4 linked regions of the Drosophila melanogaster genome follow. The protein of the gene in region 2 interacts with the protein of the main gene of each other region in a pairwise test. Each region holds a gene or a part of one and is shown on either strand. Other genes may lie near its edges.

What was found.
Region 1: the proteins of Fatp3 (region 2) and CG1418 interact in a two-hybrid assay, tested with the Drosophila melanogaster proteins (one large-scale study listed by BioGRID).
Region 3: the proteins of Fatp3 (region 2) and CG9632 interact in a two-hybrid assay, tested with the Drosophila melanogaster proteins (one large-scale study listed by BioGRID).
Region 4: the proteins of Fatp3 (region 2) and CG14410 interact in a two-hybrid assay, tested with the Drosophila melanogaster proteins (one large-scale study listed by BioGRID).

The regions. Positions count from the first base shown.
Region 1 is NT_033778.4:9,960,923-9,968,348, forward strand, and holds CG1418 (uncharacterized protein), read right to left. Parts: upstream 4,146-7,426; 5' UTR 3,795-4,145; coding exon 3,712-3,794; intron 3,660-3,711; coding exon 3,453-3,659; intron 3,400-3,452; coding exon 3,108-3,399; 3' UTR 2,913-3,107; downstream 1-2,912. Other genes in the region: Pal1 (Peptidyl-alpha-hydroxyglycine-alpha-amidating lyase 1), read left to right, coding at 1-81, 641-1,140, 1,304-1,738, 2,276-2,445; CG12133 (uncharacterized protein), read left to right, coding at 6,343-6,890, 6,955-7,426.
Region 2 is NT_033778.4:24,290,824-24,301,330, forward strand, and holds Fatp3 (fatty acid transport protein 3), read left to right. Parts: upstream 1-3,273; 5' UTR 3,274-3,397; coding exon 3,398-3,398; intron 3,399-3,407; exon of another isoform or gene 3,408-3,508; intron 3,509-4,575; exon of another isoform or gene 4,576-4,749; coding exon 4,750-5,026; intron 5,027-5,084; coding exon 5,085-6,561; intron 6,562-6,859; coding exon 6,860-7,168; 3' UTR 7,169-7,288; downstream 7,289-10,507.
Region 3 is NT_033777.3:15,856,784-15,864,493, forward strand, and holds CG9632 (uncharacterized protein), read left to right. Parts: upstream 1-3,412; 5' UTR 3,413-3,564; coding exon 3,565-4,221; 3' UTR 4,222-4,695; downstream 4,696-7,710. Other genes in the region: Hmt-1 (heavy metal tolerance factor 1), read right to left, coding at 1-154; CG31183 (uncharacterized protein), read right to left, coding at 1,548-3,156, 3,215-3,398, 4,988-5,152, 5,306-6,034, 6,201-6,627.
Region 4 is NC_004354.4:14,831,067-14,838,090, reverse strand, and holds CG14410 (uncharacterized protein), read right to left. Parts: upstream 1,367-7,024; coding exon 761-1,366; downstream 1-760. Other genes in the region: Grx5 (glutaredoxin 5), read left to right, coding at 1-277, 338-528; CG14411 (uncharacterized protein), read right to left, coding at 2,306-4,837; CG14408 (uncharacterized protein), read left to right, coding at 6,309-6,350, 6,425-6,487, 6,581-6,999.

The sequences.
Region 1 (7,426 bases), about 14 Mb from region 2:
CCGCGGGCCCATCAGGGAGAGCACCATCCTGGCACTGGAGCCCGCAACAGGCAAAGTGCAATACGACTGGGGCAAGAACTTGTAAGAAATTGTAACTCCCTTGTTCGGTACTTTAGGTAGCTCTATCCAGTGCTTATTTAATTGCAAATACTAGTTTGCAGGTTAGCAAAGTGTGTATTGCATTCGTTGAAATCTAATCTAGGCACAGGTAGAAGGAAGCATTTCTTCCGAGTCCATGTGGCCATTTCCGTCTGTCCGATCAATATGCCACAAACATTTAAGCCCTGCCCACAATTCCACCGAACCCCCACTAGTTGAGTATCGGGTAACTGATTGTCTAGGATATCGTTCTTTATTTTTCTCAGTACTCATTTATGGCCGCGCTGTTTTGTGTTTGTATAATACCTACTTCATTTTTCGTTTAAATTATCTGGTGAAGTTAAATTAAATCGGTAGTAAAAGCATTTTGCATTTGTAAGTTCAAAAGTTCTAACACATAGTCAAAAGTATTTTGTAAGATTTTAATTTCGGCTGTGAAATTCTGAAGGCATATCTAAATTTAAGTAATCACTAGAATAGCAATGTACTTCTACAGCCTTATAAGTATGCCCTTCCTAATTAAATCCCATCTCACACACAGTTTTTACATGCCACATGGCCTGACCGTGGACCCCGAAGACAACGTTTGGTTAACAGACGTCGCCATGCACCAGGTTTTTAAGTTCCCGCCCCGTGGAGGCGATGGAAAACCAGCGTTGACTCTGGGCGATGCCTTCCAGCCCGGTTCAGGACGCAAATTCTGCAAGCCCACCTCGGTGGCGGTGTTGGATAATGGGGACTTCTTCGTGGCGGATGGATACTGCAATGCTCGCATCCTTAAGTACTCACGAAAAGGCGAATTGATCCTCTTCTGGGGACAGAACACCTTCTCCGGCATATCCTACGACGTTGCGCCCCAGAACTTCTTCGCGATTCCCCACGCTCTGACTCTCGTCCCGGAGTTGCAGTTACTCTGCGCAGCTGATAGGGAGAATGGGCGCGTACAGTGCTTCCTCTCGAGCAACGGCACCTTTCACTCACAGTACCACAACCAGCTGATAGGGGACCGCCTCTTCAGCATGGCTTACACCCCGGCAGCGGGTGAGTGGATAAATCTTCTTCTGGTATCGGTGTTCATGAGGTGTCATAAGAACCTTTCGACGGTTAAGCATCTATTTAAAATGTTGCATTATCATTCACATTACCATAACAGAGCATCTTTTGTACAAATCTCAACCCTAAATGTATTCATTTTCCGCTACAGGTGGGCAGCTGGTCATTGTCAACGGACCAACCGCCGAGTTAGGCATCCATCCTGAGCATTATAACGAGGTGCACGGTTTCGTGCTAAGCATGCGCAGCAAGCAACTGGTGTCTAAGTTCGGCCCCAATAACCTGCAGTTCCAGAACCCGCACGACGTGGCCGTTACAGCCGACGGCAATGAGATCTACGTGGCCGAGCTGAATCCAATGCGTATCCACAAGTTCGTCCACCGATCTCTGGCCAAGCCAATGTCCTTGTCGGCCAGCAAGGACTCTAGGGACAGCGCTATTAGCCAAGCTGTGGGAGGGGACCAGGTTCCCGCAGTGGCTGTGCACCACCCGAGCGGCAAAGCAATCCTGGTGGCTTCGCTCATGCTCCTTTTCGCCGGCTCTACCTTTGCCTTGGCTTTGATCTTTGCGCGGCGGAGGAAACGAGGTAACCAAGCGAACAGCTCCGCTACGCCCAGTGACTTGGTGTACCGAAAGCTGACTGCTTCCACCCAGAGTCTTGGCTGATCGGTAGTGCTAACTCCTCACTCAATGTCCTGTGTTGTGCTGTCACACTTAACTGATTTAGTGTCCTGTACTTATAAGCTCCAACCTGTTTACATTTGTATCCACAATTGAATCTCCCTATTTACGCTTTTTTTGGTGTCGTTAATTACACAGCATGTCCACTTCTTGTGTGTTCTGTATTCGTTGGCTTACTTTTCGTTCAACTTTATTGTAATTAAAATTTATACCGCATTTATATACAAATTATATACAACTTTTTATACAAAATACATAAGCATACAAACAAAATTTACGTTTATCCTTAAGTGTATTCTGTTTTCGTTTTTGGTTTGTTCCAGTGCACGCCAGATCGCAGATCTATGCATGAACTAAGAAGGGAATGGGGTGACTAGTGTTATTGCTCATATAAATCCCATGGTAATTGTTAGTTAATCAGTTGTACCAACATATCCCACAGGTTGCCTGCCTTTCGGAGCACGCGGTCGTCGCCACGCGTGGGAGAAAAGCGATGGCTTCAAGCTGGGCGGACTTCTCGATCGGGATCGCAACGGATTCGAGAAGCTGGACCAGCAGGCCAGCGACGAGGAGCAGGAGACGAAGACACTGGCGAGTGCCCAGTACGCCTAGGCGAAGGACCAAGACTTACGCAGCTAACAAAGCATTCCTAGTTCTAACTACCTGTACCTCATTGAAATACCGACTTAGTTTTACGCGAGCTATGTATATGTGTGTACTTTAGGTAACTTTATTTACCTTCCTTGTGGTGCATATCGCAGAGAATTCCGATCGTGGTGTATTTCTAGTTGATTTATTGAGCCGTTTGTTCAATGTATTTTAAACAGCTTATTTATGGAAACTTCTTTTGGAGAACCGACTATGCGATTTTTTTCCGGTTACTTATATTTATTCTTTATTTAAAAGAATACATTTTTAAAACGCATGCCTCTAAAGAGCTCGAAAATATCTGAAATATTGTAAGTGCCACAGAGTCCAATGACTTGACCACATCCTTTAAATTAATTTTTTTTTTCGAATTAAATCGAAGTTCTCAGCGAATGCGCCTCATATATTGCGATTAATTTGCCAAAAAGAATATAGTCGTATGAATCTGTCATAGTGTGTATTTCGATTATTTAAAGTCTGCGGCTTAACTAGATTTCGTTATAAATAGGTGTACAACATATTGTGTCGACTTGCAAGGCCCCATAGTGGCGAATATGTTTAGCCCCTTTCCTCGTCCCTGGTTGCCACGATCCCAGAAGACCTAGGGTTTAGCTTCTGGCTGGCGGTCAGACAACCTGGGCGAGGAAACCCTCATTCTCCTCCGTTACAATAGCATCGATGTTGTAGAATATAGCATGCATAGCAATCACGAAGCATGAAGCACCCAGCGTCCAAAACAAAACCGCACCCGCGCCCACCAGGAATAGCACTGGTGCCGTCGCCAGATTGAGTGCGATGATCTGCTGGCTGGGCGTCAGTTGTTGTCCCACGATGGTAATGTTACTGTTGCGCACGCGCAGCTTATGGCAGCCAAAAGCGGAAGCCAGGATGACCAGCAGAATGCAGGGAGCCGTGATGCTTAAGATTATAACTATTAAATGGGGTGCAATAAGGTTTTTAGAATCACTTACAGGCAGTATATCATCAGTACAAAAAAGATGAAAACGTAGTTGGCCTGAAAATAGGAGAGATTCCGAATAACCCGGCTATTTAGCCGCTGCATGCTGATGGCCGTTTTGAAATTGTTGATGTTGAAGAAGACTACCCAGGGCCGCAGGGAGTTTCGGACCATTTGGAAGATCTGCAGCGGTGATGGCAGGTTGGATAGCGAGGGCAGGCTGCAGGGTTCAAGAGTAATTAGCTATTCGCTCCTTGTTACGGTTTACTCACCTTTGCATGTCCACGGAGAACCTGCCTCCGGAAGGCGGTGGCGGCTGCATGTTACCGGATAGGTTCCCGCCAGTGTGTGCCATTTTGCTTGTGCTTTCCCAACCTCGTCCTAACACTTATCTTAGATACACGTCTTCGCTGCAATCTACAATTCTTCTTTCGACAAGTGTGGGCGTTCCACAAGTGTTATGTGTATCTTTGGATTCGTTCCACTTGGTCCAAGAACTGTCTTGAGGATGCTGCGGCGTTTGTAAAGCGGCGAGGACTTTAGCGGGGTCACTTCTACATGGAGGCGGCAACACTTTCGATGTTGATTTTACGATTCACTCTTAATTTGCTATGACATCGTTTTCTTTTGAGAAACAGTATACAAAGTTTGAAAAATCTGATGTGGCAGATAGTTCTAGGATTGCCGTTGCCGTGACGTGCGGTGTGGCCAGAGTTGCGAGTGCGCAAATTCTCGAAATCAACTGAAAACAAATCCAAAGCGCTGAATGCAATCAAACATTTAATACAAAACTTTTTCTCTAAACATTTGAATTATTTTTTAATGATATTTTTACACAAAACAATTATATTTTTCTACCTATTACTCGTGTAGTAGATGGTTATACTAGATTCGTTTAAAAATGTATATATTTTTGATATCCTTGTCTATTAACTTGAACTATTAAAGCTAGAAAGTTAAGATTAGAAATTCAGTTTCTTTCTGATGATGCAACGCCACAATTTAAAAAAATGAATCGATTTTTTTTCATTTTATTACTTGTCTTGCCAATTTCTAGAGCTATGCCAAAAACCTTTTACCACGCCCATTTTAACACTGAAATCTGCTACGTCTTCACTTTTATGTGTAGACATTTTTTAATTTTACTATTTGTTATCAGTATGGCAAAAGATATGTTGGATGCGCCCAAACCAAACCAAACCCACACTTTTAAAAAGTTACTTGCCTATTTTTCATCTTATTATTTTTTTTTCCAATTTGTATAGATAAGCCAAAATGAATGTTGAACTTTTCCACCAGCTGAGTAATTGGTATCTGATAGTCGAGGAACTGGACTATATAGTTCTCTCTGCTTAAAAATGTTTTCATCACAGAATTACTTATTATTTCTTTTAACAAGGCCAAACAAAGCAAACATATTAAGCAATTCTTTTAATTTCCTTTTATATAAGTAGGCGTAACGAAAGAAATTTTAAGAGTCTGCGTTGCTTTACAAGTAACAGGTAAGAATCGCGCTGATATTTTAAATATTTTTTGAACAATTTATTTGACGGATAACACAACATCCATTAAATTTTTCTCAGGTCTTCTGGCTAATACATACATATCTTATATTTCTTGTATCTTGTATACACACTCAGGTTAAATGTTACATTTCTATTTACATTTACCAACAAAGAGTTTTAGAAGTTAAGAGAGTTTTCATTTGCATTACCATTATGAATATAGACTATATAATAAAAGTTCTAACTTAGATATATTTACAGATATGGATTTTTGACGTCATAACATATTGCTGGTGTGACACAAGTGATAAGTATTTTTTCACAGTTCCGGTATGAATCAGATTTTTGATTTTAACTTAAAAAAATTGTGTCTTGAAATATTCAGAATGGATTTATATTTGTTTACGGAGATGGAAATTGATTATCATCTTTTTGTTCAACGGTATTTTGGGATTGTGGAGAAAGTAAAAAATAAATCTCGTTCTAGTCACGCGGTATCAGGGTGATGGTGTCCTTCATTTCCAAAAAACCTGTGAATGTATTCGAGTGTTGCGACTGTTAGATACCTGTTACTCAGTTTATGAACCTGCAACATATGGATATGTAGAATTTGAATAATTTGGCGTGTAGCAAGGATATAGCTCTGATCAATCTATTACTACAGTTTTGATATGTTTAAAAGTAGTAGGATTTGAACGTTTCCTGGTATCCAGAAGACTTTTAGGATGTGAGCGTTTTAGGAGTTTAGGGCGTAACAGGGGCGTGGCACGGTTTTAAAGAAAACTTACATGCTTCCTTACTCTTAATGTTTCCGACATCTCGACATTCATACGGACGGACAGGCAGGCCATTATAATTAACCCAAGGAAAGTTGTGGATTGGACATCGTGCCATGAATCATTTTAGCAATCGAGATAAGCTTGAACTTTTAAGACCAACTGGCTTTTGAATTCAGTATTCGGTTAGGCTTTGACATTTCAAGATGGTCTCGATCCATTTTTATTTGGCACTTTTGCTTCAAGCGATTTCCTTGGCGAATTCTTTCCAATTTGGTAAATAGTGGCAACTACAATACAATATACATATCTACAATTTCATCGGATCAGTGTCAGTGTTAAATATATACTTTGGCAGCTCACGGATCTATTTTTGGTCTCAACAATAATTAATACCTTATAATTACAAAATTGGAACTTCATTGGGTTGATTTCGCTACACAAAACTATAGTCTTACCAGGAAAATGCAATCTTTAATAGGATTTCATACAGTGTTACAAATGCTATTTTCGGCCATTTTGAGCTCCATTAATTGGTCAATTTTTGTTACCCCCCTTAGCAAAATTCAATTTTTGCCGACTAGACGAGATTTGCATCCCACTGAGCAAATGTGAACCTCTTATGAAGATTCTACATCCCCGGAACATGACAAACGATCAAAAATCACAGTACCGGAACAAACTATGCAACATTAATCCTTTTGCCCACGAGCTAGTGCACATGGTTTTTACCTGCTGCCCGATGGTTGCAGGGGATAAACTACCAGATAGCAGGGTCTGCGGACAGAGTCCTCCTTCGTCATATATCGTAGGCGGCATGGAGGCACAGTCCAACCAGTTTCCCTGGACAGTCCTGCTGGGTTACGAAGCCTACACAGCAAAGCAGCGACCGTCTCCCATGTGTGCGGGCTCCTTGATCGCCAGTCGCTATGTGCTGACGGCAGCCCATTGTTTGAATGTGAATGACTTCTACGTGGCACGTGTGCGCCTGGGCGAGCATGACACCGAGAACGATCCCGACTACACCTGGCTGCCGAATGGAGCCAAGATATGGGCTCCAGCGCACGTGGACATCGATGTGGATCTGAGGGTTCCGCACGAGCAGTACTACACGAGAAATGGAAGACACTACAACGACATTGCTCTGTTGCGTCTGAAGAGTCGGGTGAAGTAAGTAGTGTGCTCTTTGGGGTTCCCTCTTTTCACATTTTCCCATCGATGTCCTCTCTTTCAGATACACTCTTCAGATCAGACCCATTTGCATTTGGCCTGGCATTGAATTGTCAACTTCCTCCTTCAAAAACTTCCCTTTTCAAATTGCCGGCTGGGGCGATTCGGGTCTGCAGCAAAAAAGCACCGTACTTCGCCAAGGCACCATCAGTGGAATGAGTCCGGATGAATGCTTGAATCGGTATCCAACACTGCTCGTCGATAAGGACATCCAGATATGTGCCATGGGATGGGATGGCACCGACACCGGACTGGGAGATTCCGGTAGCCCGCTGATGGCTTCGGTGGGCAGGGGTGCTGATCAATTTTATTACCTAGCCGGAATAACGTCCTACGGAGGGGGACCCTCCAGTTACGGATATGGGCCAGCGGTTTACACGAAAACTTCCTCATATTATGAGTGGATAAAGAAGAAAATCAATGATATCGCTGAAGATGAACGTAAAATGAAATACAAATCTGTAAGAATACCAATT
Region 2 (10,507 bases):
AGCAACCCAAAGCGAGTAAAAACAAAAACTGAACATAGTAGATTTTATTAATACAATACAGTATATTACTACGGATATGATTACGATTATGGCTAATTTATTGAGCGAGTTTAATTTATTGATTAGTATTTATTGTACTCCCTAAACTAAACCTAAATGTACTTTTATCATAAACAAATACCAAGTAAATGTTAAACCCACAAACGCGGGCTGCTGCAAGGCTCCGGCAAAAGAAACCCAAGAAATAAAGTGTTTTAAACCAAACGAAGTCTCGATTCCCATTTCCAAATTCGAATTAGAAAATAACATTTCGATTGGCAGCCTAAAAGAAGGCCATGAAAAGCGCATTAGTGTGAGGCGGGTGTGCGCCTCAGAGTGTGCTACAAAACCACAAACTACTGTGATGAAATTTCAATTATCGTCACTCAGCTGTGTGCTCCGTGTCGGTGTGAGTATCTGTGTGAGCGCCATGGTGAGTATCTGCGCCTGTGTGTGTGTGCATGTATGGCACACCTGCTGCTGTCGCATTGCAAGCGAGCAAGCAAAAGCTCGTTAGTCCCCCGCTCCGCCCGCACCCGGCTCATCCCCTTGCTCCCTTCCTTCCTTCATTCCAAGGACGCCCACAACATTTGTTGCACACGCACACACACGGCGTGCGGCTAGCCACCCACTCACACACATACACAAACAGACATTCGCAGAGGGGCAGCAGCTTGCCTTGGCTTCGCCTTTGTCTGGATGCTGTGCGCTTTTTTGCAACCCTTCAGCCAACAACAATGATGATGACGGTGGCATTTGCTACCTGAGTGATTTCCTAAAGCACAGCTCCACTCCGCTCACCACCCTCTTCATCCAGTGCCACCACCACTTCCGGTTGCGAGTGGGATTCACATGCACATTCGAATGGCTGCACGTCCAGCTGGCATGTACTACCATTTCCATCTCCCGGGGATTGCCAGTCCCCGTTCGCAGCCACTCGATTACCCCTTTGTGCCGGTGCCGGTGCCGGCCAGCCTTCGTTAGCTTCTATTTAACATGCAGTTATCGTTTGTTATCGCCAGCAGCCACAAGCCAAGCTCCCACAGAAGCAGCTTGTCAACTGGCAGCGAAGTGAGGAGGGATGACAGTCCTCCGGATGCCCTGCAAATCCCTTAATTATATAATCGAGCCAGGCTGAGTCTGCAGAGTGAGTGACTGAATGGTAGAAGATACGAGTTCGTTTCTAAATCTATTGAGAGTAGGATTCTTCGCTTTCGAAAAACAAGGACCAAGTACACTTCTCGACCGACTTGGGCTTAGCTTGCACTGCTTAGGAAAGAAGGGCCTGTTAATCTCTCAAAACTCCAAATTCCACGAACGCAACTGGAGTGGGGTACATTGCCCACACCCTGGATTGCTAAACAGCCCACGGGCCTCTTCTATTGTTTCGCAGCTCCAATCGATGCCAATGCATTAACATTAAAACTTGGGTGCTGAAATTTTAATTAAAATGTGACAGGCAACTAGCGCACAATGAGCCCGCTCCAATCCCAATCGCCGGATATCTTGGCCTGGCCCTCTTGTGTGTGCGTCTGGCATAAAAATATTCAGCATAAGTGGCGGCCACCCAGTGATGCTCGACATAGCAGAGCTGCCGAGCTGCCGAGCTGCCGAGCAGCCGAGCTGGCAGCAATTGTGCCATTTCAATCGACATCTGTTACTGATTTCAAAGAAACTTTTGTTGACAACACAAACAAATGCCAAATGCACGGGGCGAGGGGCAGCAGGGATGCCGTCGCCTGGGGGCTTAAGGTACAAACCGTTTGACGCTTGCCTGCGCACGACTTCGGCCCACCGAACAGCGCCCACCGCCCACCGCCCCCCTGGCCAAGCTCTTTTGGCCCTGAACCAGACCCAGGACTCACGTGTGGCCCAAAGTGCCGCACAGCTGACGTTAACGTTATCAGCAAGCGGCTGTGCCGGTGAAATTGTGTGGGTCTGTTTTCATACCCAGCAATGCAGGATCAGGAGGGCATGCTCGAAGCTCTGAACTCTTTGCGAGGGTGCAAAAAAATGGCTAATAAAAAGTAACTACTTCTACCCATTCACCAAACGTAGATTCATTTACTTATAAAGCTCTAGCTGTGATATGTGAAGTGGATTCTTACAATGAAAACGAATTTCGTAGGTTAGTGTACAGGGTACCTTTCAGTCGCCACCCTAAGCTTTCTTCTTGCCTGCTCCTGGGCCTCTCCATTGCGAGTGTGTGTGTGTGTTTTTGTTTTCGCCGGCTACAAACAAAGTTGACTGAGGCTGCCAGTTTGCGTGTCTGCGAGCCTGCATTTGAAGGCTGTGCAGCAAAGGCATCTGACATGGAGGCACGAAGGAAGCCCTGTGTGTGTGTGGGTGTGTGTTTTCGGCGGCGCCATTGTCGATAATAACGATGGACTGAGCCCCGGGTCGCAGGCTCTTTTGTGCGCGTAACATGTGTCAATTACAGGCGCCCACACCCACACACTCGCACACTGGCACACACGCACACACACAGAGAGCGAGCGGGAGGAACAGGAGCAGCCGGCACGTCCAGCACACACCCACACACGCATATGCGCTCACTTAGTTTCGCTCTCACACCGTCGATAACTCAAAAAGCTGCCAAAAAGTGTGCGCACATTTTTTATATGCGCCGTCCGAAAGTATGCACATATTTTTTATATTTGTGCTGCCGGCATTTGACAGCTAAGCGACGCTGCCCTATGTTAATTTATTTTCACACAGCATTTGCTTTTTGTTTGCATGTGCGTCGGGAAGGGGGGAAATTACTTTCCGCCTCTGTTTTTGTTGGCGAATAAAAAATCTTAATTAAAAAATTTCGAATCGCTGTAACAGGTGGAAAGGCCAGCTGCTAAGTAGAACGGCCAAACTTTGCCTCTCCGAGAGATTTGGATTGCCGGGTGCTATAAATTAGCAGTTTCCACTTGTTACGTAGAAAGCTATTATCAACTTATTATTTGAATTACTTCTTTCTGTATATAGTTGCGATGAAATGGGGTTTGTCATTAATTATTCCATCAGATTGATTGTGAAAGCTAACAGCGATCTGTAAACTTAACAGCCGTTAAGCGATCTCCTATAATGATCATCATCATCATCATCATCAAGTTCTTCACTGAGTTTTGGAGGCTGTTCGTACATAGCTCTCCTCTCATTTTCCTCACTCTTTTGTGGTTCTATTGCTCTCTGCCGCTCTCCAACGCGAATGTCTGTGGCTATAAAAACCGGGTCCCCACCGCAGCAGCAGTTATTTCTCCGATCCGACGTCGGGTGAACAGATCAGTCGTGCCGCAACTGCAGCTATATCTTTACCTATGTGTTCTAATTTTCCGTGCCAGTAACCGTTCTGATCGTGCGAATAAAAAGTATGTCACTTGGGGGCGCTGCACTGGCATTGAAAAGTGAATTACATTGATCGTGACATGGGAATGGAAAATGTCGCCGAGCCATGTAAATCGTTTGGCCTACCCGTCTACCAGCCAACCAACCAATCAACCAACCAACCAAAACCTGTGCCAAGAACTGCGTGTGCGCAGAAGCGTTTGGGAAAACTCTGTGACTGGCATACGAAATAAGTCAAGGTCTTCAGCATAAGAAGACGCCAGAACATAAGTCATACTGGCGACTTATAGAGATAGCGCCCATTTCCCATCCATAATCGCGGGTAGCAATGAACTTTGAAGCCGGCACGTCACTTGATAGCTTCCTTAACCCATGTGGGCCCCATGGGCTCCGATTACATTACCTCGCCAATTATTCCCCTGTGCAAAACGTAACTGCATTATTAACAAGTGTTCCGACCACCTTTCCATTGTTGGCGCTTCGCGATAAGCCGGCACAACAAAGAGCAACAGACGCCGCGATATCAGTTGAGTTCAGTTCTGCTGCTCGCACCAGGGCAGGTTCAATGTCTGGCGCGGTTTTATCGACCGATTGCCCACTCAGAGGGGTCCACTTAGCGAGCCGACCAATCTATGAAATCGCACAGTTTAATGAAAGATTATTCACCTAGAGACTCGAAAAATTTCCATGCGCAAAGGTTTAAGGCTGCACTTTCTGTTGATATATATAATGTCGCCGTAATAAAAACATTCACTTGGGTCGTAGATGTTTGTTGAAATAATTAGCCGTTTTCCCACATAAAACGCTTTAATAATGATGTAAAAGTAATTAGCCGTTTTTCCCTAACGAGATCACTAGATAATATTTTTTATGCCCCTTTTTATATTGGCTTAAATAAGCTGTAGTCATCATCATAGACAGAGGGTAGTGTAATGACTACAATAGGTGGGGACATCTGGCTTTCCATGCCAGTTTTTAAAATAAAATTTAGACCCCGTACTCAATTGCCACTGCTCCACTTGGGTCCGAATAAATGTTTTGAGTGCATGAAGGGGATTTTCACAGCCTAAGCACTTGTCACTCCCCCACAGCCCCTCCTAAACCACACCATCCAACTGCTCATGGCGGCTGATAAGAACTTGCGGCCCACAAGCCATGTAGTAAATCGGTATCAGACAGCACTATGGTGCGCTTATCACTCAGTTACTCGCAGGCGGTTGCCCTAGGCACAAGTGGAACTGAAATCGGAAGGGTGGCATCCACAAAGTGCTCTATTTGGCCATTCCCTAGCTGTCACTAATCATATCCGTACGATTGAGCAATATCTGACTAACTGTTTCGATCATGTTTGCTTTCACCCCCTGCCCTTTGAAGTGAGCGAGAACGAGAAGCGTCCCGATCTGGAGGATCAGGATCAGGATCAGAATCAGGAGCAGGCTGGCGGCAGGAAAATGGAGATCCTGCTGGAACTAAACCTAAAGCAGAAGCTGGCCACCCGACTAGGCACCATCCTGCTGGCCACAGTGATCTTCGGCGCCTTTTGCTGGGACAACGCGTTGGCCAGTCTAACACTGGGAGCAGTGGTGGCTCTCCTGCTCAGAAATCCCACCTTCGTCTTTGCCTTGGTAATGACCGCGTCCAGGGACCTAAAGTGGGTATTTGAGTGGCTAATTTCGCGGAGAAACCCCCCAACTTCCGTTCTCTTTTAGGGCTTTCCAGCGATTCGTGGCCCTCAACATCTACCTGCTAAGAAAGGATCGCGGCGGATTCACTGTGGCCCGCTGTTTCCAGGACCAGGCCAGACGCCGCCCCAAAAAGACATGCTTCGTGATGGACGATCGCCATTTAAGCTTTGCAGAGGCTCTGGAGTTTAGCCAAAAGATAGCTGGATATTTTAGCGATCGCGGCCTGGAGAGGGGCGACTGTGTGGCCCTACTAATGGAAACGCGTCTGGAGTATCCCTGCATTTGGTTGGGTCTCTCCCAGCTCGGGGTAATCACAGCCCTTATTAACTCCAATCTGCGCGGGGAGTCTCTGCTGCACTCCATCAAAGTGGCCAATGCCAAGGCCCTAATTGTGGGCAGTGAACTCCTGGATGTGCTGGTATCACTTAGGGAGAAGGAGCAGTTGGACGAGGTGCCCATCTATCAGTACACAGATGACGAGGTTCGCGGGGTGGCTGGACATGATCTTTTGCCAGGAGCTGTGGACTTGGTTACTGCTCTAAAGACCCAAAAGAAACTGGAGCTACCGAGTGCTGTCTGTCCTGGAGAAGCTCGTTCCAAATTGCTCTACGTTTACACCTCTGGAACTACGGGCTTGCCCAAAGCAGCTGTGATCACCAACCTGCGGTTCCTCTTCATGTCTGCAGGATCCTACTACATGCTCAAGATGTCCAGCGACGATGTGGTGTACGATCCCCTTCCCCTCTACCACACCGCTGGTGGAATTGTGGGAGTGGGCAATGCCATCCTCAATGGATCCACGGTGGTGCTGCGCAAAAAGTTCTCGGCCAGGAACTTCTGGCTTGACTGCGATCGCCACAACTGCACTGTGGCCCAGTATATCGGGGAGCTGTGTCGCTATCTTCTGGCCACCTCCTACTCCCCCGATCAGCAGAAGCACAACCTGCGTCTGATGTACGGAAATGGACTGAGGCCACAGATCTGGTCGCAGTTCGTCCGTCGCTTCGGTATTCCGCACATAGGAGAAATTTACGGCGCCACCGAGGGAAACTCCAACCTGATCAACATCACCAACCGAGTGGGGGCCATCGGATTTGTTCCCGTCTACGGATCGAGCCTCTACCCTGTTCAAGTCCTGCGGTGCGACGAGTACACGGGTGAGCTGCTCAAGGACTCCAAGGGTCACTGCATCAGGTGTCAGCCTGGGCAAGCGGGTCTCCTGGTGGGCAAGGTGGACGCTCGGCGGGCCGTGAGTGCCTTCCATGGATACGCCGATAAGGGAGCCTCGGAGCAGAAGCTCCTTCGAAATGTCTTCACATCCGGAGACGTCTTCTTTAACTCGGGCGACATGGTGGTGCGAGACATACTCGGTTACTTTTACTTCAAGGATCGCACGGGAGACACCTTCCGCTGGCGGGGTGAAAACGTCGCCACCCAGGAAGTGGAGGCCATTATCACGAACTGTGTTGGCTTGGAGGACTGCGTGGTCTATGGCGTGCAGGTGAGTTTCAGATATTTCCGATTTCTTTTTATTTAAGTTTGCATCATAAATAATTGATACCTTATCATCAAATGGTGGTCAGCAAGAAAGAATGGAATCTGGCTTTAATTACCGTTTAATAGCAATCTGAAATGTGTTTATAGATCGCATATATAACTATTGTTTCAGTGTAGCTGAGGGAACTACCCATGTCGCTCTTAGTCACTGGGTTTCTGGGTTGTGCCATGTAGATAACAAACCACCTGAAACCACAAGCCGCAAACCTTGATTTTCACTATCGGCCCGCATATCTTTGCAGATCCCCCATGTGGAGGGCAAGGCGGGAATGGCGGCGATTGTGGATCCGGAGCGCAAGGTGGACATGGATTACCTGTCCGTGGTGCTGCGGGGCAGTTTGCCTCCGTACGCTCGCCCCCTGTTCATCCGACTGCTGGACGAGATTCCGCGCACCGCCACCTTCAAGCTGAAGAAACGGGAGTTGGCCAAAGAGGCGTATGACATCGGCCAGCTCTCAGATCCCATATACTACCTGAATCGGGACGGTATCTACAGACCACTCAGTCAGGAGCAGCACGAGTTGCTGCGATCGGGAAAGGCGGGACTCTGAGGATAGAGGTCCCTTTTGCGCCCACAATTGTATTCCAGCCAATCCTCTGTGTATATTGCAAAACGCTTGTCTGTCCCAATGTATTTTTAACGCTTAAACAACGACTGATTCCGAAAGACCAAAATACCTAAATGCCGAAATAGTGATAAAGTTCTTTCGCTGCTGGCCCAAAATGCCGGGCGCGTTTCTTGGCCATAAAATGGCAGCTTAACCGATAATGGGAGCCAATACGTTTTACGGCCAGAAGATGCTGCTACCGCCACAAGATATATCGAAAGTGTTAAATCCCCAAGATTAAGTTCTCGCTCATTGGCAGCTGCTGCAGTTGCTGCTGCTGTTGCTGCTGCTACTTTTACAGTTGCTGCTGTGCTGTTGCAACATTAACGCCATTTCCGCTCGCTTGCGGCAGCTGCGACTTCGTTGGCCGTCGCCTAAGATAAACGATGTGCAAAATCCATACAAAACAATGGCAGGAGCAGGAAGGCAAGGTCTTGCAACCGCAGCAGCGCAACATCGTCGACGGCCACCAATATCGATGTCGATGTCGATGGCGAAAAAGTTGTGGCAGGCAATCATAAAAAACGAAGAAATGGCAAACAAAGCTGGGCGCCATTTTTAAGGGAGCGAAAATGGCGATGGCGCGCTGCTTCTGGGATGCCAAAGGTTCTTGGATGGCTAAAAGTTGTTGCATTCAGTTCAAAGTGAGTCCTTTTCGATTTCGCTGGATCGTAATTGGTATGATATTTCACTTGGAATATATGCAAGCTTTTTAGGGTCCTGGAATGTGCTTTTAAGATAATGCTATAATGCCTGATTAAGATTACTTGGGCCGCCATACAAGGCAAACGACAAAGGTTTAGAAAGACACAAGCACTTGTTTCGGCACTGGGGGAAACTTCAGTTTTGCAGGGATCCCGGGATTCCAATACACAATGTAAAAGCCGGATGCCCAAAATACACATAAAGTTGCAGCTGCAGCAGCTGCCGAACTCCCCGGCCACGCCCCCCGCGCCACGCCCGCTGCGCCCTTTTCGCGACGCCATCGTCGATGTCATAAACAAAATGGCAGTTGTGGGTGCAGAAGTGCATGAATACGTTCGCATAGCTAATAACAATAAAAGCAACAACAAAAACAGCCATTGCAGCTGACACCAACAGGCAACATCGGAGTTGTTGCTGCAACATCGGTGGTGTTGTTGCTGCTGTTGCCAGTTGCCCCTGTTGCTGTTGTTGTAACTTCGCGTGCGCCTGGGCTGCGTAAGTGGGAAAATTAAAAATTTCTCAATAATTTTTCGAAATGTTCGACAAGAACGTCGCTCGCTGCTGGCATTGCTCCTGCTCCTTTTTGGGCTCATTTAGAAGGCTTCCGGGTGGACAGACGGGTGGTGGGTGGCAATGGGTGGCGATGGGCGGTGGAGGCCGAAGCTCGGCGACGGCGCCACAGCTGCCATTGGAATTCCAAAGCTATTAAAACGCTGCCAGTGGAGCTACGACCAAACGGCACCAGTGTTTCCGTTTCCTTTCCGCTGCTGCTGCTGTTGCTGCTGCTGCCCTTCTCCCGATTCACTTACCCTTTTCCGAAGAGGGGTATTCCAAATTGATTGCTCGACTTAATCTCGGATTTGGCTAGCGTTTTTATGGGCCATCTTCGGGCGGAGAAAGTGCACATGCGGAATATGAATTTGTGTTGCGTACTTCTGGGCTGGCTGTAAAATAAAGGTTTCCCTTTAGTTGGTAGCTTCTGTGTAGGAAGGAAACCAAATGATCTAAAAGAATTAATCATATTGCATATGCATAATCAAACTTAAAACTTATTTACAGAACTTAGAATCTGCATTTATTACAGGGTATCTGACTACTCGACATCCTTTTCGCCCTTTCCTTTTTGTGGCACTTGGTGTGGCTGCTGTTGTTGCTGCTGCTGCTTGCTACTGGCTGAATTGGTTTGGATCGCTCCGCTTCTGCTTGTATGCATTTGGGCTTAAAGGTTTTGCTTGCTTTTGTTTTTATGTTTCATACTGCCACCGCCATCGCCACTCCCCGTCCCCATCCCTTTTCTAGCCTGGGTCCTTGGCGAGCTTTGTCAGTTCGTGCTAATTACATTGCACCTGTGCATGACGTTTGATGTTGGCCTGTCGAGCTTCGACTGTCGCTTGTGTTTGTTGTTGGCCGTTGGCCGGAGAGAGCCAGTGTGTGTGTGTGTGTGTGAGCTTAGCTTGTTTGGTTTTGGCCTTTTTGGGGCGCTGACTGGGCTGCAGCAGCAGAAGCAGCAGCAGAAGGCAGCAAAAATTAATTAAAAGCCAACGTGCGGCGGCAATGCAATTAAATTCGATTTGGTCGGGACTCGACTGCCGGAGACTCGAGCTGCTATTGGTAGCCGGAGCTCAGCTGGACGGCTGTTGTTGACATCATTTAATACAACAATGCGGCAAAATTATATTTCACAAACGTGTGTTTGTGCAGGAGCGTCAAAAGTTCGCACAATGCAACACACACACTCGACATGCGGCCCCTGGCTTTGTGTGTTTTTTGTGCTTTTTGTTTGTTTTTATACGGAATTTCGGCTGGTTTCAGCTGTTTGTCGGCTGATCTGCCTATTTGGCTTGTGCCACTCCCCCTTGCCACACACATCAGCCTTGCCGTGCACTGGTGTGTATGTGTGAGCCTTTTGATTCGTGGCACCTTTTGGATTTGACAGTTTCGTAATTAACTGCATTCGGCTGGCCGGGTGTGCTGCATACTTTCGGGGGGCGCCTCAATCCGCATTGGCATTTTGTAACGCAATTACTTTTGCCGGCGCTCCAAAACTTTTTCCTATTCATTTCAACTCGGCATTGATGTCGGATTCTGGTTTCGGGATTCCGGATTCCAGGAACGGAAAGTTTACCTCGAATCATGTTGATAGGGAATACGTGACAGCTTGCAGCAGAGCCAGTGGACCGCAGGACGCAGAGGACACACGTGTGTGCGTCGCATTCTCCGGATTTTAGCCATTTCACCCGCCACCATTTCACTTTGAAGGCCCACAGCTGGCTCGTCCTGGCCAATCCGCTGTGTTGTTTTTTATGGGGCCACCGCTTTATGCGCCCGCATATTAAACAATTATTGCCAAATGGCGAGCGACAGCTGCGTTGTGTCGCCGATGTCGTTAGTTGGTGGGCATTCGTGGTGGCGTCTCCTGGCCTTCTGCTGCTCTGGTGCTCTGCTGCTCTGGTATCCCGGCTGGACGAATAGCAGGAGGCCTATGCTGTGCTGAGCTATTTTCCCTTTTTTTTTTTTTTTTGTTTTAACCATTTTTACCAAAGCAGGACATGGCCAGTAACGTGGACCACTCCTGCA
Region 3 (7,710 bases), on a different chromosome or scaffold from region 2:
TGGCATACTTCCGGTACATCAGCAACTGAATGCTGCCGAAGAGCAGAAGGAATCCACCGTATACCGCCGGTCCCACGGTGTCCATGAAGCAATGCGAGATGCCATGCTGCGTCCACACCTCGCTGAGGGTCACGTTGGGCGGGCAGTACAGCATGGTGAAGTCGGTGTACCTGCGCGGCGACGAGGAAAGGCAATTGCGGAACGATAAGCTCTGATAGAAACGTGCCAGATAAAGTGGAGCTGTCACTGGGAAACAGCTCGGTGAACACAATTGCTTTGTTTTATGGGCTGGCGGCAATTTCGCAATTATTCACCCAAATTATCAGACGCCCCCAAAGGGGAAATCACTATTTTTTTCCTCCGGGTAAGCGGAGTGCAGATTGTGAATTGATAATTGGTGCCCTTGCAGCACGGCACCAAGAGATCCGAAATACCCTGGAGTCCGGCAACCGTGGAAACTGCAACTCATCCAGCCCATTGGATATGCTAAATTATGCAATGTTGCGTATGCTCGATTCGCCGGCGGGTCTAGTGCTCCCCTCTTACCCGCTATAAGAAGTCGCGATCTGGTGGAAACACCGCAATCAGTCGTGTGACAGGTGATAACTCAACTAATGGACAACTGGCGGGCAACTCCGACCCAATCACCACCAACTACGATCAACATAAATAATTTTGACCCAAGGGTTCGGTATGGCCGTTTCTGCTTACACACAACATACCACATACACATTGTACAGTGGAAACAGGTGAGATTCATTTAAATGAACATAGCTTAATATATAACATTTTCGATTGCTATAATAAATTCAGGGAGAGTTTGTTTAAGTGATTTAATTTTAAGCTATCAAAGGTTTAAAGTAATTCTCTTATCAAATTGAAGGTAACAAATTTTCTGGAAACGGTCACGCTAGCTTTCAGCCCTGGTTTTCAGCTTGGCGCCCAGTTTTCAAACCATTTTCTTATCAGAATTTGCGATTACTTTACCATTCCTGGTTTTCAACACACCATCTTATCAGAAATTGTGATTATTTCAATATTCCTTGTTTTTAAAACCCTATTTCGACATACTGCGGGTAAAATATACAGATTATATAGATTTCTTTATTCGTCAATTCTCAAAATAAATATTCAATGTTCATCTAATACTTTACATTCAAGAAATTTTCACAAATTGTCTACGCTTAACCTTAGGTAATAACTAAGCTAAGTTTTTGAGTTTGTAGAGAATGAATATTCAAAGCACAAGGAACAAATTGATTGGGAGTAAGTTTCTATTTACATCTAGAGTTGCCTTTTTTGTTTTTATTTTTGTTTAATTTGAGGTTTGGTTAAATATAAAATTCGCTACTTATGAGTAAGGGGATGGGGCGATTAAAACCTAGGAAACATTTTAGAAGATTTCCCGTACGAATTTCGAATTTGATTCGGTCGACTATTGACTAACCACTAACTTGTTCAACTTGGGTTTAACTTATTATCACAAACAAGTACATTTAATATGCATATGATTACAGTGAAGAGGGAGTCGACTCCCCCCCATACAGCTATGAGTTGATCTTGGCCAGCAGTGGCTGGGTGACGGCACTGCCCGCCACCGGTGGGCACTGCTGCTTGTAGCTCTTCACCAGGAAGCCGTAGTGGCTGCTGTCCGCCGGAATGTTCTGGCCACTGCCGCTCCGTTGCGGACTGGCGGCCACCATCTGTGGAATCGGTGGAGGAGCAGCCAGCGGCGGCGGTGTGGGCAGCAGTGGGGTCTCGTCTCCTTCAGCAAACTTGATCCTCAGCTGCCCACTGCCCATGCTGCCCGTTTCGGGGCCTGGGGAGGCATTGGCCTCACTCCTGGCGCTTGTCAGCAGCGTTGAGATCGTGGGCGAGGGCTTCAGCCGGGTGCGTTGGACACCCAGTGGCGGCGGCTGCAGGATACCGCTCAGATTGGAGCTGGAATTCGAGTGCACATAGCCGTGGCTATTGTTATTGAGGTGATGGTGGCTCTTGAGTGCTCCGCTCAGCGGCAGCCGGAAGTGTGCCAGCTCCCAGCTATCGGAGGTTTCCTCCATGTCCCTCAGACTGCGGCTGCTGTAGATGTCGCAGTTCCTCTGGGCAGCCGCCGCCGTATCCAGATAGTGGTTCTCAGTCTTGTGATAGTCAAAGCCGCCGCCATTCAGCTTGGGTGAACTGGAGCTGATCTTGCGTTTCACGCGGAGATTGGGCGAATCCTTGGACGGCGACGGTGGCGGTGGCAGAGCGATCGCAGGTGGCGGTAACTGGGGTGGTGGCGAGGCCACCACTAGTTCGGAGTACTGCTTGTGAAGATTATGCGATTGGCTGCGCTGCGGTTGTTTCAGTGAGGAGCGACGCGTGAGCATCAGCTTGCTGGGCGAGATCAGGGAGTTGGGGCGGGGTACCTCGCCCTCCAGCCAGTAGGTCAGCATCTCACCTTTGCCCTTCATGGGCACAAATCCGCGGCGTGTGGTCACAAAGGTGCCGAACTCGTCGAGCGCCTCCTTTGTGGTCTCACTTATGTGGATCTTGAGCGCTTCACCATTGGACTCCATTCGGGAGGCAGTGTTCACAGTGTCACCAAACAGACAGTAGCGTGGCATCTTCAGGCCCACCACTCCGGCCACACAGGCACCGGTGTGCAGGCCTATCCTTAGCTTCAACCGATCCTCCGGACGATGGTGGATGCGGAAATTGTGCACCGCCTCCAAGAGGGCCAGTGCCAAACGGGCGATCTCCCGGGCGTGCTGATTGCCATTTCGAATGGGCAGTCCGGACACAACCATGTACGCATCTCCAATGGTCTCCACTTTGTAAACATCAAAGTTCTCCACAATGGAATCGAAACAGGTGTACAGGTCGTTCAGGAACTGCACCACCTGCATGGGCGTGCTCTCCGCCGAGATGGCAGTGAAGCCCACGATGTCACTGAAGTATATGGTCACCTGGTCAAAGGTCTCCGCCACCACTGGCTGTCCGCTGATGAGCTGGGCGGCGACGCTTTGCGGCAGCAATTGGTACAGCAGCTTCTCGCACTTCTTTTTCTCCTCGTGGTAGTCCTGGGTGCGCTCCTCCACCAGTTCCTCCAGATTGTTGGCATACAGTTCCATGCGCTTCAGCAGATTGTCTACAATGTTTCCCGTCTCGTTGTCTCTGTAAAGCAGTCAAAGTTAGTGAGGAATCCATAACTATGGATTCAGTTAGTACTTACTTATTAAATCTGCGTATCATCGATTTCAGGGTATTAAAGTCCGGACGCTCGGCAGGATCCTCTGCCCAGCAGCGACGGATTATGCCATTGATGTCCGCCTTGGTATCACCGTTTGGTTCAAGTTCAGGACGGAATGGTTTCTGCATTCTATGAGGATTGTATCCCTTCACGAGTTCGATTATTTCTGATCGTACGACAAACAAAATAACGTTGAATTAGCCTTCAATTTGGAAATAGTTTTGTGTAAACATGTTATGTAAATTATTCGTGTTAAGTGCAGTTTTATGTTAACACCAGACTGGATCCTTTGGTGGATTCCGAATTCGGACATCTAAACACCGTTCCGCAATATGAGCACGGGAATGGAATATCTGGACTTGGTCAGCTTCTTTGCACATGCAAAGCCTCCGAAACCCCAGGAAATGAGGCCTTGCAACCAGCACGAGATCCTGCTGCAGCTCATCTGCAATCGCCGGCAATCGCTGAGCAAGGCCCAAATGGCTGATCTCCTGTGGAACATGACCAGTGGTCCGAAAAAGAAGCTCAAGAGAAGGCAGTGCGGCGGCATGGACAACCGGAATCCATCAGAACCGACCGATATTGAGGTGGTGTTCGGGTGCAGGGAGAAAACACCACCTTCCACCATTTCGCACAGAGGCTGGGAAAGATCACGCATCGAGTGGCTGCGCAAGCTGGAGGTTCAGCGGAGGCAGTGCTACCAGGCGTGGCAGGAAACACCCGGACCCGATGCCAGCATCAACGCAGGTATGAAGTCCAGCAAGAAGGAGAAGGAATGCGGAAAATCCCCAATAAAGAACACGCCATGCGAGAAACACAACAAAAACCAGAACCAAGCCGGCGGTAGAGAGAAGGACAAGCACAAGAAGAAGACCAGGACCAAGAGGAAGCTACCCGGCTGCTGGGCCTTCCTGCCCTTCGGATGCGGCTTGAACCTCGCCAACGATTCCAGCTGCCAGGACGTGCCCCACCGCAGAGAGAGTTCGTGATTTGCCTTTTTCGACCAGCCAGCACTTTGATTTCGATTTCCAGATTCGCTGGCACCGCAATTAAATTCGCCTACAGACGTCGTCTAGTGCCAGATGCCAAAGTTGCATTCTGCGGCCTAAGGACGAGTCTGATTCCCAGTCACGGCCTAATTTGATGAAATCGTCAAGTGCCAAGTAGAAGGCAAAGTTTTTGAAATCGGCGCGGAACTCGAAGTTGGTCTGCGGTTCAACAGGGCAATGTGTACTTCAACCAGGAAGATAGAACATCATAAAGGCTAGCAACATACATACTTCAAAATACAAGTACTTTGGGTTTCGTGCTTGATGCAGGATCTTTAATTAAATAGAATTGCTAAGCCGAAGGCTCCTATTTTGGTACATTTTTATTAGCAGAACATTTCGCTGACTACTTAATTTGGTCTTTTAAGTTCGTTTATAAAATGATTTGAGTGAATTAAATTTCAGCATCCAACTAATTTTTTAATGTTTACCCTGTTTAAGATTATACAAAAATATTGGCATTGGACACGGGCTTTCACTATTTCGACTGCGTATTTTGCAGTGCTCCTCCTTGCTCCTCCAACCACAACCGCCTTAACCACCAGCCGAGTGGCCAACTGACGGGCGAAATAACCGCAACATGTGCAAAAATCTGGCATTAAAATTCCGCACAGACAAAATCGGCCGCAACACGAAACGGCCAAGTGAAAAGGACACTCGAAGGACGAGAGGAGGGTATAGAATGTGAAACACTTGAATAGCATACCTTGTGGCGATTTCTCGTACGCACATCTGCCCAGGTAGAAGGGTCCTTGTCGCGTGGTTATCTCGTGCACAATGATTCCAAAGGCGTAGACATCACCCTTCTGTGTGCCCTCCGGCGGACGATTGTGCTCCACTCTCAGCAGTTCGGGGGCTGTCCACAAGAGCTCTGTACGGGAAAATAAGTTACATATATATTTAAAATATATTTCGAAACTTGGAAAATAATATTAAATAAAAAAATTTACAAGGAAATTCTTGCTGCATTCAATTAACTTTTTGTTCAGTGCACTGCACACAGTAGCAAACTGGGACTACTTACTGCTCCAGTAGGCGTGGCTATTGCAGTTGCCCCCATCACTTTCCAGGTCGAATCTCGTCCGCCGCAGGGTGTGCAATCCAAAGTCGGTGATCTTGAGCACAAATCGGGAGTCGACCACGCAGTTCGAGGACTTCAGGTTGCCGTGAGACCGAATGTCGGAGCTGTGTAGAAACTGCATTCCACGCACGATGTCGTGCATCAGCGACAGGCGGAACATCCAGTCCAGCTGGAACTGCTCGTTCTCGAGGATATCCTGCAACGAGCCCTTGGGACAGTATTCGGTGAGCAGGAAACTACGCCTCTGATCCAAACACGCGCCATAGAACTTGACCAAGTGGTCGTGCTGCAAGTCCTTCATCCGTTTCAGTTCCAGCATTAAGCTGCGAGTCAGCAGGCCCTGAACGTTGTCCACCTCCACTGGCTTGATGGCCACTTTGCTCTTGCGGAACATGCCCACTGGTATGAAGATTTGGCGATCTCCGTTAATGGACACCATGTCCTCGGACATCAGTGTCAGCTGGGAGCTTTGCTTGACCAGCGAATGGAAGGAGCCTCTCAGGCCACGCTCCGCTGCATCTCGGAACATCACATCCTCCAGCGACACCTTCCAGCTCATCGAGTTAATCTCCGCCTCGGCGATGTAGTGACGATAGCCGAAGAAGAAACACACGGCCATTACGACCACCATGGTGCCCAGGACTATTGACAGGATTGCATACCCAGGAAGTGCTGAAATTAGACACATACATCGGGTTACCATATCTGTATTCAAGAGTTTTCAACGAGAATGTTCAATCCTGACTTTTGTGTCTTGTATCTTTCAACAGGCCGAATTTCATATCATAAACCACATTAATTATATTATTATTATATAATTTGCAGTAAGTATACTTACAATTATCGGGGCATAGGGCGCCATCGTAGCCGCAAATGGGTCGATCTGGCGGCGCCTCCTCCCGGTCGCCCGCCCAATGGATCTCCTTGTTGGCCTCGAACTCCAGGCGATTGTGCAGGAAATGGGCCACGATCTCGAATCGGCCGGTGGTGGGATTCATGTCCAGCAGTGAGTAGGCCGAAAGCCGGTCGCCGTTGGCATCGATGGTCACATTGCCGGTGATGCCAGTGAAGCTGCGATTCCACATGCGACGCACCATGTCGGTGCCGTTGATGGGCCGTGTGAGCATGGTCGGATCCTCACGGATGCTCTCGTTCAGGGCATTGGCGTAGAGCAGGACCCCGTCGAAGAAGGAGGTGACGAATGCTGAAATCGGCTCGTTGTCGCTAAAGGTGTAGTTGTATTTCTCTGCGGCAATGGCTTTGATCTGCAAATGGCAACGGGCAAATCGAAACGTATTAATCTCTCTGCAGCTGAGCTATAAGCTTTCCCTCTGCCCTTTCTAATCCTTATGGCTCTATTCTATGCCGAGGGGCATCAATTCCTGTCCGCTTTCCTGGCACTTTTCCCCCCTTTAATTGCTTTGGCCCCCGTGAAAATTCAATTACGCGTTCGCTCGCTCGGAACGAGGGAAGAAAGGACGGAAGACGATGGCTCTGGCCCAGGACGTTTTGTCACAATCCATGTGGAAGTTATTGCACACCGCACTCCGATGTGCCAACGGCGGTTTTCACTCGCCATTCTCCTTTGACAAGCGGCGATGCTGGGATTTGGACGGAGCAGCGCTTGCAAATGTCCATTGAGCGTAAGTTTTCTGCCAAGAAAGCCGACAATTTAAGCTGCAATCCTTTAAGGATGCAGACGTAAAATATAGATGGATTGTATTGTATGCCAGGTGGTTAACTGAGTACTTTCAGCTAGCTATTGCCAACAAATTGAAATCTCAATTATTTCGAATCAAATTTTTAAGGAATGTGACAAAATCAGACTATTTAAAGACGTTAGTTTTGTATCAAACGGCTTATTAAGAATATGTCTATAAATATGCGTGTATACTTAATAATAAAAACTACATGTATACCCTTAATCTATTAGCTTTATAGATTTTATCCTTCCATGGGAATATTTTTGGGAAATAATGCAAGCTTTTGCCATGCAAAAAGCCCTCCCCCGCTTAGATATATACCATATTAGTATCTTAAATGCTAGCAAACATTGTGCTAACTTGTACATATAAGATGTTGCCAAAGGAAAACGATGTCGTGTGCATTTTACCATACATCCCGCCCCCTGCACTTTCTTGGATAAGTAGAAAACATGGGGTGTAGAGCGTCATTAGCCAGACGGACCGGTAGTCCAATGAAGCCTCTTCAGAGGTGGCCACTGCCATAGTTGGCCCAGGCTGCTTATCAGCAGCTGTAAGAGCAAATTCATTCGGTTTTCAGGTGGCTGCCCCGGCTTTTTGAGGGCTCTTCGGGTTTGGAGTTGGCCAGCAAATGCTCTTAGGTGC
Region 4 (7,024 bases), on a different chromosome or scaffold from region 2:
TGCCAGAGTCTCCGCCATCCGAGATACCAGATTCTCGCCACCACAGCACCGCAATCCCTGCTCACCCGCTTTCTTGCGGCGGATGCGGCCACCGGCGCGGCAGTGGACAAGGCGACAATGGACAAGCTGGTGCGCACCAACAAGGTGGTCGTCTTCATGAAGGGCAACCCACAGGCGCCACGCTGCGGCTTCAGCAATGCGGTGGTGCAGATTATGCGGATGCACGGTGTCCAGTACGATGCCCACGATGTGCTGCAAAACGAGTCCCTGCGACAGGGTGAGTACGCTCCACATATGCATTAGCGTGCCAGCGTTAAACCTTATTGCTTGCGTGCAGGTGTCAAGGACTACACCGACTGGCCGACCATTCCGCAGGTGTTCATCAATGGCGAATTTGTCGGCGGTTGCGACATCCTGCTGCAGATGCACCAGAGCGGCGATCTCATCGAGGAGCTCAAGAAGGCGGGCATCATTTCGGAGCTGCTGAAAGCGGAGGAGGCTAAGCAGCAGGACGACAAGGCTAAGTGATGATTCAAAAAGAGCGCCCAAAGATCAAATTCCCTTCCTAAATCTGTTAGTCACGCAACGTTTTTATTATTAAATGTTTAACTCATAACGACAATGGTGTGCGTTGTTCCGTGTGATTTAAATGGCAGCCAATGGCATATAATCGCAGGCGCTCATTTATGATTGTGATTAAGATATAGCAGGCTTTGTAAAAGTACCATTATAATGTAAGCAAGCATTCTATAGGATGAATTCAGTTGCGCGTCCTGCGCCTCTCGTCGATTTGCTGCAGGAGGCATAGGATTCGACTGCGTGCCTGCAGAGCATCGTCCACCTGCAAGAGGGAAAAGCACTGTTGTCGATGCTGCGGATTAGTCATATTCACCAGGATCTCCATCAGGTTGTCGGCTATGGAGTGGCGCATCGTTTCCTCCGATGGCATTGGTGGAATCACGCGACTTGGACGAGTTGGAGTCGATTGAGCGGGATTTCTAAGTGGCAACTGATTCCCGACGTACTGCTCTTCATTGGGATACTCATCAGTTTGCTTTTCCAGATCCTTTGGTACCTGATTTTCCATCTCAATATCTTGGTTCTCATTTAGAAGCATTTTCTGATTAATCTTTAAATATTCTGAATTGTCGAGTTTATCTGCAGTCTTTGCATCCTTTTCTGCTTTTAAAATGCGGTTGTTTGCCAGATTCTCAACTTTAACTTCCATTATTTCATGCTTTAAGTCCAAATATTTATCATTTCTTGTTGATAGCTTCTTATTTTGAGATTCATGATTCCGTTCTGTAATTATAATGATTTTCATTGTGTAATCCTTTATGTCCTTGAACGTATTTGTATTACCCATTTCGCTGAGTGTTTAATCTAGTTTCTCGTGCCAATAATAAATTATAATAATAGCATATTTATAAATTCATTATAACTTCTATGTGCTATGATTATAACTGAAAGTCCAAGCGAACTATAAAATGAAATCATAAATAAAAATCGGGAATTAAACAGTTATTTATCGAAGCTTGTAATTATGTTAACCCTTATATGGCTCCTTTTTTTTAAATTATAAAATCTTAAACTTTTTATTGAGTTACATTAAGAACCCAAAATTATTCAGAATAGCAAACACAAATCGTTTCGAAAGCCAAACTGTTAGTCAATTATTTTATCTTTTCAATTATCCAACTATCCACTTCAATTTAAAATCATAAGCTTACATATTAATGCGATTTTTTTTGCTGACTCACCCATATATATTCATAGTTCCTAATTCGTTTAATTCTCAAAAGTTGCCGCAATCAGAACACATTTTGTTGATTTTACACATTTGATTTATTTAAATATACATATCGATCAATAGTCTTTCATATATTTAGTTACATACAATATAATACATATTGATTTAATTGGTGTTTTCGTACGTTTTCGTTTTTGCGGATTTGTGTTTTGAATTCGTTTTACATCAATTGCTTGTCGTTACGTTTGTTAATCGTATTATTTACGTTTAATTTTATAATGCAGCGATGCAATGCAGTTTGGTGGTAGTAAAACGAAATAAAAAAAAACTTATACCATAACTTGCTTATTAGTTAACAATAATCAAAAGTGTTAAAAGCGATATGCCATGTATATGTGAGGAAATTGCACCTCTGTGTGTGTGTGTGTGTGTGTGTTTTTTCTTCTTCTTCTCAAATTATATTCTGTTTTTTGTGTAATACTTCGAAAGTTCAGCGTTTTGAATAAACAAGTGGAACGAGTGTGTGTGTGGTGGTGTCTCCGATTTGTGTGCGGATCAGACAATGGACGACTTGTCCAGAAAGGATGAGGTCTCCATCAGCAGCTCGCTGCTGCTGCTCAGAATGTCGTACAGCTGGAGCGGTGCATCTCCGGCGATGGGATTCCCGAAGGGAAAGAACGACGACAGGGTCGATAGCTGCAGATTGCCGGTAACCGATGTGAGTCCGCTAGTGGGTGTGGCGGCCTTCGCCGTCGGCTTCCTGCGCCGCTCCACACCGTCGACGAACTCGGCCTCGTCCTCCTTGTCGGGCTTCTCGTCCTTGTGCTGATTGGGACGCGATTCGCCGGCGAACTCGTAATACGCATCGGGTAGATCGTCAAAGTTTTGATAATCCAGGCAGCGCTGTACCTTTGCTATGTTGCTCAGCAGCAGGCGATGATAGAGATCCACCTGCGGCTGGCCGCCGCCGCGTATATCCAAAATGGGCAGCCAGCGGTAGTAGCACTGATCCCACACCTGCAGATCGAAGATGCGATGTGCCGGCTGCAGGTAACGATCCTGCGGCACTGACGAAGCGGTCGCAAAGAGCTGCGGATTGATGGTGTTGCGCGAGGGTGTGACACCACTAGCGGCGCCATGCGCTCCCTTACTACCCACCGCCAGGGATCTGCGATGCGCCACGGCAGCCGCCTGGGCGCCAAGATCGCCCCTTTGGCGCTGGTACAGCGGATTGCTAAAGAACATTTTGTCCTTGTCCGAGAACTGCTCGCCCCAATCCCAAACGGGACGCAGGACGAGCTGCGAGTCGGTCACCGCCTTCAGTCGCTGGGCCTGCGTATCGAACTGGAAGGTATCGAAGATGGGCATGAAGCACGAGTCCCACAGCGTGGTCAGGTATGTCTGCGTGAACTCGAACTCGTCGGGGAACTGCTGCAACAGCTGCCACACGCAATCGAGGAAGAGCAGAAACACTGGACTCTGTTCGCTGTCGAATAGTTCGGCATTACCGCCGGCCGGCTGGGCAGGATAGACATGACCCAGGCGTCGCTGAAACGGATGCTCCAGGGCCACCCACTCCTTCTGCACCAGCGATTGGAAGCCATCGATAGTACGGAAATGCGGATCGAGCAATAGCTGCGCCAGACTGCTAATCACACAGCAGAGATCACGGCCATTCGACTCCTGGAGGACACAGGTAACGCCGCTGCGCAGCGTGGCAGACGCTTCACTAGCATAGCGTAGGCACAACGACACATAGAACAGCCAGTTGGTCTTTTCGAGTAGTCCCAGGTACTTGTCATCCTGCAGCATAAACTTCTCCGGCGTTTCCGGCGTGCATAGGCGCCTCAGCTTCTGATAGGCGCGCAGCACATCCTGAATGCTCGGCAGGCGATCCGTCAGCTGTAGGAGCTTCAGCTGTCGCCCCGCATCACATTTGCGCACCAGCTCCAGCATCACATTCTCCGATTTGGTGTCCTGCTGCGCAGCCGGCTGCAGTTCAGCTAATCTGACCAGTGCCGCGCTGCTCCCATAGCTATACACCCAGAAGGCAGCTCGTGAATCGCAGAAGGCGCGCGACAGATCCAGGAATCGATCCACGCTGCAGCTCTTCGGTATGACAAAATGCGGCGGCACAGTGTACTTGCCCGCCTGGAGGGGATTCTGCAGCAGCTGGACACTGGCACAGCTAACCACCTGCCACTCGGTGGCGCCGCAGCGTATCAGCTCTCTGGCCCAGTCGTTTTTCGTCGCATACATACTAGTGCCGGATGCGCCCAGTGTCGAATAGTATGGCTCTCGATGAGCATAGGCGAAGCTCAGATCATGCCGCATTGGATAAGCGAAACGCACCAGGGCCGAGGCAATCAGTTTGCCCTGATCACTGGCCCCAAACATCTTCGAATCCTGCTGCTGGAAGGCGAATTTCAGCAGGCGAAAGTTCTTGCACACGATATGCAGGGCGGCGATGCGACCGCTGATGTTCTGCTGCTTGAAGGGCTCCAGTTTTTTGCGCCTGCTCATGCCCGCATGGCTGGCCATGCCTCGCGCCGCCTGCAGCGCACTGGCCGCCCGTCCCAGCTCGGTAATGGTATAGATATGATCGATGTTGTTTAGCGTAATCTCATTGCGGCCCAAATAGGTATTCTCCTGATATAGATCGATCAGTGGCGCTGTGATCGCTTGATTACGCTTTTCATGCAGCGGCACAAAGGCCAGCTTAAAATTGGTGACACTCAACAGTCCGAAGGTGGCCTCTTTGTGATGACGATCCGCTGGCGTACCGGACGCAGATGATATGGCGCTGAGCGTAGAGCCACTGCCTCCGCTGCTGTCCATCGGATCGATCGGTGAGTACATGTAGGCTGGTGCCGATGCCACTATCTGCTCGCCGTGCAGCAGTCGCGGCTTGGCCAGATGGACGTCCCTCAAATCGCTGGGCAGGCACCATTCGTTCGTGTCCGCTGTGGCGCGCAAATCTCCGGGTAGCGGTGCCACATAGCTGGTGAAGGTGTTGCGCTTGTGGTGGTCAGCATTTCCGGCGGATCCCGCTCCCCCGTGGCCGCTGCCACCGCCGCCCGTGGCCATTATTTAGTCGGTGGTACGTTGTTGGAATATTCAATTATTCACCACTTCCTGTCTGGCGGGGAGGGGGGGGGTGGGTGTCGGCGCTAGCTTTACCGTTATTCCGCTGCTGTCTGTGTGCCATGCAAGCAACGAAAGAAAGCGGAATTTGGAGCAAATGAATATATGACAAATGGAAACAGATGAGGTGACAAGTGGAGCAGCAAAACTCGAATTATCGAATCTTTTCCATTCACGTTATTTTCGAGGGGGGGGGGGGGGTGTGATAAGTTTTTATCAGTTGGAACGCAACTTACCGTTCGGATTACTACCTGTGTGTGCGTGTGTGTGCGAGCGATCGCCGTTTTGTTGTTGCCGCTGCCGCTGCTGCTGCTGCGGCTGTTGTCTCTGGATTTTGGATTTTGGTATTTCGGATTTCGAACTTCGAATGCGTTTCGAGCGGGGTCACTCGTTGTTGGGGTCATCCAAGTGCACCATCTGGCGCCTGCACACACGCACCGTCGCTCGCAATGTGCATTTATTTACTTATTTTTATTCGCGCACTTGGTCGCCACAATTCATACGACACACTGACACACACACGCACACACATGCACGCACATGACACTAGGTGCAATCGGTGCTGTGTGACCAGGCGCCGTCGATTCCAGTATTTCGTGAGCGCGTCAAGCAAACGGCGATGACTAAGCGTTGCTCGTGGAACGATGGAAAGTGAAAAGTGTGGCAGTTCTTTTTAATTTTAATTTGCTTTAGAATTTTACATTATTTTATTTATTTAGTTTTTCGTTTGGCGGTGAATTCGAATAAAATAAAAATGATTAATCTTACTATCTACCACGACTTAAGTTTATAGGACTCAAGAAGGTATATAAAATATGCAATTAAAAAGAATTGCAATTGAATAGACTACCTTAAAGGTAATTTCTTTAAGGACATTTCAGAAAATTTTATAGAATAATTATTCACAGTTTTTGAGATAATGGCATTACAGTGGGAACCGCCCATATTCTGAGTTCCAATCGCAAGTGAATAAAAGAAATTTGTTTGTTTTTATTTGATATCTCGTAATAATATATTCGTAATAACTGAGAAATTTTTTTTATTTACTTATCGATATTTGCCTAGGAATAGAAGATAACGATAGTTTCTACGCGCTTTGCAACGGTAAAAAGCAGCTGACCAGAGCTTTTTGCGCTTGCCAAACGCAAAAGCTCCGGAGCGTGTTGTCATAATTGTGTCTGCAAAAGCTCGCTTGATTCCATTCCACGATTGATTCGATTTGCTTTGCTTTTGCTATTCGCGATGTGCCGTGGAAAATGAATCGCATTCCCAGATGCAATTGACCCACTGAACGAGCCCGCTGCCCCGCTGCCCTGCTGCACTGCATCCATTACGGCAACTCCACGGTGAAATCCAGGCAAGACCCGAGAATCGACCACCCCAATCCCCCTCCCCCACAAATCAGCCAGGCACCATGTCAACGGAGAGCAACACGCCCGTGGATCCGAGGGTCCAGGTAGGTACCACCTACACACATACATACATACACCTACATATGCCAAACAACCTAATCCTCGGGAGCCCGCTTAGGTGGAGCTGGAGAAGCTGAACTCCGCCACGGACAACATCAACCGATACGAAGTGGAGCTCGATGTGAGTGGGCGAGTATTGATTTTTCCCCAGTTACCCCAGTTACTTACCATTATTGCTTGCGATCTCTGTCCCAAAACAAACCAAAAAAAAAAGGAGGCCAAGTGCGAATTCAAGCGTTTGCTGGCGGAAAGTGTGGTGAGAATCAAGGCAGCCGCCCACAAGCTGGGCAACTCGATTGATGCCGCCAAGCCGTACTACGAATCTCGCATCTACGCCGCCCAGTTGGCCAAGGAAACGCAATTGGCCGCCGCCAACCACGAGAAGGCCAAGTCCATTCATGCCGCCGCCAAGGAGATGGTCTACCTGGCCGAACAGGGTCTGGGCGAGAAGTCGACGCTGGACACCGCCTGCCAGGAGATGCTTAGCCACGCCGCCAGCAAGGTCAATCAGTCCCAGCTGGAGGTCACCGACACCCGCAATGCCCTCAAGATGTGCCAGCTGAAGCTCGAGGTGGCCAATAACCGGGTCGGCAAGCTCCAGGGTCAGCTTAAGCAAGCGCTTCGGGCATCCAGGTAAAGTTCATGGGGTTCCCTTCAA